2 linked regions of the Daphnia pulex genome follow. The protein of the gene in region 2 purifies or fractionates together with the protein of the main gene of each other region. This does not show direct contact. Links are inferred from orthologs where the notes say so. Each region holds a gene or a part of one and is shown on either strand. Other genes may lie near its edges. The genes, in order: pre-mRNA 3'-end-processing factor FIP1-like and probable cleavage and polyadenylation specificity factor subunit 2.

Region 1 (4,456 bases), on a different chromosome or scaffold from region 2:
CCTACAATCCCTTGGTTTTTGCGTCAGTTATTTCCTGATTTTGGCTTTTATTTCGACCTTTATTATTAGAATGTATCCTTGTAAACGCTGGTGTTATGTATTGAAATTACGAAATGCTGTAAAAAATATCACTAGTGCTCTTTCCTCCCCTATCCCACCCCCCTTGTAAACATGATTCATGTACAAAAAAATCGTCCCCTCCAGAATTCGCTCTTCGACATCCCACATCCGCTTCCTTCCTCAAATCCTTTTTTTCTGGAAAATCAACGCTTCTCTCTTTCAATCTCTCCATCGAAAAGACAGTTTTCCTTTTTTTTAATATTAAATTCTGTGGTTGGAAAAAAGACAACACCTCCATATGTATTTCCGTAATAGCACACACTCTTTGTGCAACCGACTTTACCCTCTTTCATTTTTGAAAAAAAATACATCCCGAATATATGCGTTGGAATCTTTTCTTTTTGAATCTTATTCGATGGGCTGAAATAAATTGTGATTAAGACGAATAACTCAGGAAAATCAACAAAAATAGGTAAATGAAAAAAGGAGTGTATTTTTTTAAATTGGGCCAATTGCGCAAAATTTAACAAAGGCAGGGAGTGAAATCCGAGTATCGAAAACTAATCAGACGAGCTTTTGCTTTTACTTCTGTCCCTCTTTGAGCGCTTGGAGGAACGCTTATGAGAAGTGGGACTCCGACTCCGACTTTTACTGCCTCGGTGACGACGTCTACGATCACTACGGTCTCTTTCTCCTCGGTCACGATCACGATCTCTTTCCCGGTCACGGCCACTTACACGCTCTTTGTCCTTATCCGAGCGTCGATCCCTGTGTAAGTTGAACGAAATATATCAATTGCATTTTCAGAAGAAGCTCGTCAACGTTTGATTTTCCTCTTACCGTTTGTCGCGATCTCGGTCTCTATCGCGGTCACGATCCCTTTCTCTGTCTTTGCCTCGATCCTTTTCCACTTCTTTTTCTTTTTCTCGGTCGTCTTTAGGGGAGCGACTGCGCGAGCTACGGCGCCTTCGACTGCTGCTGCTTATCCTATTTGCAAGGAAGAGCTAATCAAATGCTGTACGGAGATCGAGTACCACTTATATACAGTACCGAGATTCTTCTCCAGGAACAGGAGGGGTCCCCAGGCTCTCTCTTCTTTGCTTTCCCGGTGGGTTCATTCCCATTGGTAGTGGTATTCCCATAGGTGGTGGTCCTCTCCAGTCCTAAGAGGAAAAAGTTATTTTTATTTTGTTTTGTTTTCTGTTATGGTCTTTAAAATCCTTACCGAAGATCCCCACTGTGAATCCTGAGTAGGTTCGTATTGGTAATAATCATCGCCAGGAGCTCCTGGGCCAGCCATGAACTCATTGGCGTAGGGATCAGGTACTATAGGTGGTGGTGGTAACATCATTGGTGGTGGAATTACTGGTGGCGGCATACCAAATGGAGGAGGTAGAGCCATATTTGGAAAACCAGGAGGAGGACGTGAGAAATCGATCGATACGGGAGGTTTCTCCACAGGAGCTTCAGGCTGATATTAAAATGAAATTTAAATAATAAACTTTAAAGTTTTTTGGTTGACTTTGGATGAATATTTTATTAAGGATACGGGGCCTTACCACTTCGGGAGGTTGCTCCTCCATAGAAGGAGCAGGTGAAACGCCTGATTCTGGTCGGCGTGAAGATAGATTCCCTCCACCAATGACATCAATGGCACCAGCCATTTTGCGTGCTGGCGGAGGGCCTGCTTTTTTCACAACCACTGACCCCGCATATTTTGAATTTTCGTTAACCACTGATATCGGAATCGCTTGGGCCGGGGTCGCCATCATCTGAATCAAAAAATAATAATATCGTCTTTGAGCTTCATTTGTTTACGTATTTTATTACCTTGGGTGGGGGTCCTAATCCAAGGCTAGCCGGAACACCAGCCCCAGACTCCATACGGGATCGCCTTTGTCTCTCACAATATGCTTGCCACGTTATTTCATTGAAACCGTAATTAAAATAATCAGTGATATCAGCACCAGGCTTCCTCCAAGGTTTATCTTCCAGCGAATCCAAACTAAATTCATGTGCTGGTACACCGTTAATCGCCATTGAGCCTTCGAACTCTTCCACAGTGAACTTAAGATAAGATACATATGTTAAAAACAAACTCTTGCATCAAACATGATGTAGCTCAATGTATACTTTGCTCTTTTCCCCCAATCCTTGTGCCGTTGTTCCAGCTGTTCCTCTTTTGACATTAAAACCAGCATAAGCTGCTGGGCCAGATTTTATGTCACCAATCGTGATTTGTACGTCATCATCACTTTCATCATCCTCATCGTCATCATTGTCTTGATCTTCATCTTGTCTCTCATCCTTTTCTTCGTTAGTCTCTGCAGCTTCTTCTGGATCTTTTACAATAGAAAATACAGGATGTTAAAACTGTTATGGGAAAACCAGACAAGCGATTCAACACAGGGAAAGAGACAAGGGATAATAGTTGAAGAACTTTTCCATAATTAAAAATGTACATGAAATTACCATAGCCTTCTCCAGCGTATTCCGTATTTCCGTCATTTCTGTCTATGGCAATATGATCTTCATTTTCGATTTCGTACATTTCTCCATTACCGGTGGTGTCTTGGTCGATTTTTCCATCATCGCCCTGAAAAAAAAAGAGACAAGTATCAATTTCAGTTGACGAACAATAATTTTTTTTTTAAACTCACGTATTCATCTGGTAACTGTTCCGAGGAATAAGGGAATTGTGAATTAGAATTATCTGCCTCATCTGGGTGCCGGACAGTGTCGGCCATATTCGGTTGTAAACAGCAGAAGACCCCACTTCAATTTAGGCCTGAGGGGACAAACAACAGCGAATGTACGCTTGTGGCTTGTCGGCTGTCGCTGTTTCACATCAAACGCAAAAATAAGGTATTTTTACTATAAAAACTTGTGATAATCCATTTTTATAATGATCTCGTTATATAAAAAGACGCTATTAGGGACAAAATTCAACTTTAATTTGGGTTAGACGTAAGTGTGCAACTTGGCAACACTTCACCCGGCAGACGTGCATTTACGTTTGGTTCGTAAATTTATTTGTTAAATTTTATTTGAGCCGAGTGGCTGCGAGAAAATTCATAAACAAAATGGATAAAAGTATAGGGAAGAAAACTGGAGACATTGTTTTGGTAATAATACATTGTTTTATATTGAAGTTGACTAATAGGTTTTAACAATATGTCTTCTGTCTTTAAAGTGTGAAGAAGATTTAGCGTATGAAGAGGAGATTCTACGGAACCCTTACTCTGTCAAACATTGGCTTCGCTATTGCGAGTTCAAAAAGGATGCCCCTCCTGTTGTTGTCAATTTGATTTATGAGAGAGCTTTGAAGGAAATGCCTGGCAGGTTCGTTTGATTGGTTCTTGTAGTAGTACATAGTAAATAAGTTTGTACTCATTTTCAACTATCCACATGTTTGTCTCTTCACAGTTACAAACTATGGTACAGTTATCTCTGCCTAAGAAGGAAGCAAACTAAAGGTCGCTGTATAACAGATCCACTGTATGAAGATGCCAACAATACTTTTGAAAGAGCATTGGTATTCATGCACAAGGTATCTTAAATGCCAATTATATTATTATCACACATTATTAAATACCATGTTTTTAATGAATACCATAGATGCCAAGGATTTGGATGGACTATTGCAAGTTTCTGACTCTTCAACAGAAGATTACCACTACGAGAAAGGTCTTTGACCGTGCTCTAAGAGCCTTGCCAATCACCCAGCATTCCAGAATTTGGCCCCTCTACTTGAAGTTTGTTAAAATGCATCCAATACCAGAAACAGCTGTTCGAGTTTTCCGTCGTTTTCTTAAACTATCGACCGAAGATGCAGAGGAATTTGTCGATTACTTAAAATCTATTGACAGACTTGATGAGGCAGCTGTTAAACTTGCCCAGATTGTGAACAAGGACAGCTTTGTTTCGAAGACAGGAAAATCAAACCACCAACTGTGGAATGAACTGTGCGAACTTAATTCGAAAAATCCCAAGCAAATTAAAAGTCTTAACGTGGATGCAATCATTCGAGGAGGTCTTCGACGGTGAGTGTCTGGAAAAAAATTAAATGCAAATATTTTTACAAACATAGGAATAATTTACTGGATTCTTATGTAGGTACACTGATCAACTTGGCCAGCTTTGGAATTCCCTTGCCGATTACTATATTAGAAGTGGTTTGTTTGAAAGAGCAAGAGATATTTACGAAGAAGCCATTCAGACAGTTACTACAGTACGAGACTTCACACAGGTAAAATACTTTGTGGTCGTCTTATTTAATGCGAATCAAGTTAACGTTTTTCTGATTTACGACAGGTGTTTGATGCCTATGCCCAGTTTGAAGAGTTGAATTTGAATCATATGATGGAAGAGATTGGTCAGAAACCTAATCCTACAG
Region 2 (4,322 bases):
TAGTCGTCGGATATACAGCCTTCGAGAGTTACTCTACCCGATTCATTCTGTAGAAGCGATAAAATTTCGTTAAATGATTTGATCACAATTATTAATTATATTAGATCTTACCCTACGCAGTGCAACGTTACCGTTACAACACCAAAGAACACCACCGATAAACTCGGACGAGATACCATTACGCACAAGTACTTGTTTAAAGTCCGATAATTTTAGTTCGTTGATGTACGATGTTTCGTGGCCAGGAATCTAAAACAGATTAAATCATTCAAAATTATTTTCAATTGTTACGTTATTTAAGTATAAAGTATTATTTACATCTTTAGGTTCTAAAGGCTCTAACAGCGGAGCTTGTTCTTTACGGAGCGAATTATTTTCTTTATCGTCCAAGTCCCTCAAGTCCTCTGCCTGTTGAAAGAAAAACAATTACTCCTTATTTTTCCCCAGCAATTTTAAGATTAACTGTAAGATTTACTTGATAAGTTAGCCTTGCATCAATCCAAGCGACTTCAGCATCCTTGGCTTTACCGAATGAAAGTGAAGAAAGTAAAGAGTCTTTCAACCTCACTTGGTAGATGTGACTTTCAATAGTTGCATCTATTGTTTCCCCTTTTCGTGCTATAAATGCTTTATTATCAGATGATCCTTAATAAAAGAAATATCAACAAATTTAGGTTAGCATATTCATTTTCTGCCTTAAAATCAATTTTACCGGTTGAAAGACACAAATTTTGCAGTGCTTGACAGGATTCGGATGATCCCCTGACGACGATGGTTCGTTTCGGTTTCATCGATTCAATCAGTTTGATAATGGATTCACCATCAGATCGTCCTTCGAAATCAATATGCATGATGCTTGCATTGATTGCTAGGGTCGTTGTGGTAGAAATGCACTTGGTAGGGCACTCTGCTTCCGGCTAAACGAAAGAAATGATCATGAGACTCAAAGCGATGCATTGGAAGTTAAAAATGACAAAAAATCATACCTCTTCTTCCCATTTAGGCTTTTCAACCGAATAATCGGCCATTTCGTGATCTTCCGACTCGGCAATGACGTAGTCTTCCGGGCGGATAATTTCGCCATACTCGTCGAATTTGATTTTGTCTTCAAAATATGGGAACATGGTAGGATGTTTCTTGGAACTTTTAAAAAAGTGTTGCACTGCTCCTGTCGTTTTATCGTCGGACCGGACAACAATATCATGTCGGCCTTTCTTGACTTCGTCTTCAGATTCACTAGACTCCGCCGCTATCTGATCTTTTATTTTTATCCCAGATAAAATATTTTTTTCGCGTTCTTTTCTACGGAATTCTTCCAATTCCGCACCTTTAAAAAAAATTAATGGAGTTCTAGATTAGATTTGTTTGTTGCGTCCGCAAAAGCAAATTAGCTTACCCTCTAGTTTGACTCGTTGTTTAAGCTCGAGCGTGACAGATTTCAAGTTACGCTGATCATGTAGCCGCTGGCCCAGCGTTCCTTGTCCTGACCGGCTGGTTAGAATGATAGAGTTTCTTGCATCAGAACACCATAAGGCAAATAAATCCCTGGCGAATCCACACTCCAGATCTGGGCAGCTTGAGAGAACAACTTTTGAGCCAGCAATACGGAGGACTTCTGGCAATGTATGACACAGCTGCAAATATCTAAAGAACAATTTGCTTTAATATTACTTCTAAAACTTTATAAATGCTAGATTGAATACTTGAATCCAAAAGGATTATTCCTGGCCCCTTCAAAGGATTTCATTAATTTATCTGACATCCATTCGATCTGTGACTTGGCGAACTCGTTGACATTATAAGCCACATTGTTCAAAAGAGCCAAACTGTAGGCTCTCAAGCCAGATTCTTGATTTCTCCATAGTTGCTCCAACATATGAGCCAATTCGAGAACTCTTCCAGCCGTATCGACAGCAACAAGGACGTTTCCTCCTCCTCTAAGAGTCTGTAGAATGTTGGTCATGAGCTTTTCGTCACGACTTCGCCTTCTGGGTTGCGCGTAAAGGGTGTTATACGCATCGGTAATGAGAAGAGACGGTCGCTGAATTTTCTCCAACTCACAACCGTTTAAGTGGCGTTCTTTTTTATGATTGTAGTCAACAGCATAAATGATATCTTCTTCTCCATCTTTTACTATTTTCCACACAGTTCCTCCCAACATGTGCCCTGCTGGAAGGGGTGTGATGATCAATCCTTGTCCCTTTCCTGTAAACAAGTAGTAATTTCAGTATGAAAAACTTGAATGAAATATTAGGACTTGTTATACCTTTGAGAGGCACACTTTGGCTGTATTTCAACTGAACAACTTTGTCAAACGAATTGTCAACATCATCCAGAGTGAATAGATCGAAGTCTTCCCTGAATAGATACAAATGTCAGTCATCTTGAATTGAAATTTGAATTAATCAATGTACTTACATGTTGTCTTTGGATTGATACCAATCGTACATAAACATCTGACCCATTTTGTAAACAGGAACTGTTGCATACACTGGACATGTTAGTCCAAGTTTTCCAACTGCATATGGCAAAGCTCCCAAGTGCAGCTGATCAGGATAGGATAGAAGCACTGCATCAATTTTGTTGACATGCTTCTTTAGTTCATGTATAAATCCTTCTGAACACTTTTCATCCCATCCACAGTCCAGCAAGAAAGTGAAATCGTCAACTTTGAGAAGGTACGAATGTGGCGAATCGTCAAGCGCGCCCGAAAGCGCGCAAAACTTGATGATAGACGTCATATTTGTCTACTGCGGATTGTTTATCATGAGTAAATTAGTTGAATTGGATTGTTGTTGACGTGTTCCTCTATTAATCATGTAGGAACATATCGCATTCTCAATAACCGAAATTGGAATGTCTGCTTGGTTTCATCCTACGATGCCTGATATCTTTATTCAAAGAATAAATGGGATTGGCCAGATTAGTGTATCATGCAATGCTGCTCGTCTAGCAGACAATTTCTTTCACAAAATTCACAATAAAAACTCGTTAAAAAGTCCAGCTGTGTGTATAGTGAGTGTTATCGGTACAGTAACTAGAAAAAATAAATCCATGGCAATGTCTTATTCTCGTTTAACTCAACTGAGGCTATCGCTTAAACATTTCCGAAGATCATGTACCAGTACATCGAACACAAGACCGACGGCCGGTATATCTCAAATTGCCAAACTAGGTAATGACAAGGCAGAGGTGGAGAAAAAGAAGGAAGAAGAGGATCGCGTAACATATGAACTCCCCAAAGCAATGTATGCTGAAAACAAGAAAACCGTCTTTCAGTTATTCTCCAGTCAAAAGAACTATGCAATTGAAGTAATCAGTGTTCTTAACGCGATCGAATTCTCGCCGTATGGAGTTAAAAAAGCGTGGAGTGATTGGAAGGAAGATAAGCTCGTTAGATCACAGTTGTACGTCAAAGAAAGAGCAGAGTTTCTTGGCCCAGAAATAGCCACTGGTCATTTTATTTGTTTTCGAGGTGGCAAAGTTCGCTTTTATGGCCATAAAGACTGGATTGTCGAAGACCCTGATTCGGATATCATACCGAATTTACCCAGATTTTACTTGGAATCTTATAAAATGGAAGCTGTTGACTGTTCAAAAATGACTCTTGTCTATGAAGGATTGGAAAACATGAGTATATTAATATCCTGTTTCATGAAAAAATGTAAACCAACACATAACCTTGACATTTCTTTTAGAAAACATGGAGAAGCTCAAATGGTTGAGCCTGGAGTCGTGTCCCCGTATTGACGATTGGTGCCTGGACAGGATTTCCGGCGAATTTTGTGACACGTTGGAATATCTGGATATTCGAAACTGTCCACTGGTGACAGATAAAGGTATCGCTTCATTAAGTAAGATGAAGAAACTGAAAACTCTTCTGGTTGGCGGTCACCCGGAAGCTAAAAATCTTGAACTTGTATGCCTCATGCTTGAGGACGTTTTGCCTGAATTAACCATCCGAGGTATTCTTTATTGCGATGAGTCTTTATTGACAAATGACGAGGCCCACGAGTAAAATGTAAAGTTCTTTCAACAGTCATTTGCCGATTTTTGTTCTTGAGGAATTATTATGAATCAATACATAAATGTTAATGTTTATTCCATCTTTTAACTGGGAAAAAAAGACATGAAGGCTAATATGAACGGGTTGGGTGTTTTTTTTTTTCTCTCCAAATCGCAAAAGAATTGAATCAAGAAGAAAAATATTGAACGTAGTTACGAAAAGATGAAGAGGACCGAATTTACATGACACAATTTTAGCGGACTTGGCGAACTCTTAAACAATATTTGGATTAAGGACGGGGTCACACATAATTTGT

The links.
Region 1: the proteins of probable cleavage and polyadenylation specificity factor subunit 2 (region 2) and pre-mRNA 3'-end-processing factor FIP1-like purify together in Homo sapiens (affinity purification with mass spectrometry; 7 studies listed by BioGRID and IntAct, with this or other methods). This does not show direct contact. The link is inferred for Daphnia pulex from reciprocal best matches to the Homo sapiens genes CPSF2 and FIP1L1.

What each region holds. Positions count from the first base shown.
Region 1 is NC_060020.1:2,901,586-2,906,041, forward strand, and holds pre-mRNA 3'-end-processing factor FIP1-like, read right to left. Parts: upstream 2,881-4,456; 5' UTR 2,808-2,880; coding exon 2,721-2,807; intron 2,657-2,720; coding exon 2,533-2,656; intron 2,403-2,532; coding exon 2,194-2,402; intron 2,128-2,193; coding exon 1,891-2,127; intron 1,833-1,890; coding exon 1,620-1,832; intron 1,532-1,619; coding exon 1,286-1,531; intron 1,224-1,285; coding exon 1,111-1,223; intron 1,048-1,110; coding exon 901-1,047; intron 829-900; coding exon 621-828; 3' UTR 534-620; downstream 1-533. Other genes in the region: pre-mRNA-splicing factor syf1 homolog, read left to right, coding at 3,144-3,185, 3,254-3,402, 3,487-3,610, 3,679-4,103, 4,177-4,309, 4,375-4,456.
Region 2 is NC_060028.1:937,423-941,744, forward strand, and holds the start of probable cleavage and polyadenylation specificity factor subunit 2, read right to left. Parts: upstream 2,878-4,322; 5' UTR 2,742-2,877; coding exon 2,419-2,741; intron 2,359-2,418; coding exon 2,267-2,358; intron 2,206-2,266; coding exon 1,704-2,205; intron 1,645-1,703; coding exon 1,397-1,644; intron 1,328-1,396; coding exon 987-1,327; intron 918-986; coding exon 713-917; intron 646-712; coding exon 476-645; intron 409-475; coding exon 319-408; intron 250-318; coding exon 112-249; intron 48-111; coding exon 1-47. Other genes in the region: distal membrane-arm assembly complex protein 2-like, read left to right, coding at 3,055-3,634, 3,699-4,018. UniProt on the Homo sapiens protein: Component of the cleavage and polyadenylation specificity factor (CPSF) complex that play a key role in pre-mRNA 3'-end formation, recognizing the AAUAAA signal sequence and interacting with poly(A) polymerase and other factors to bring about cleavage and poly(A) addition.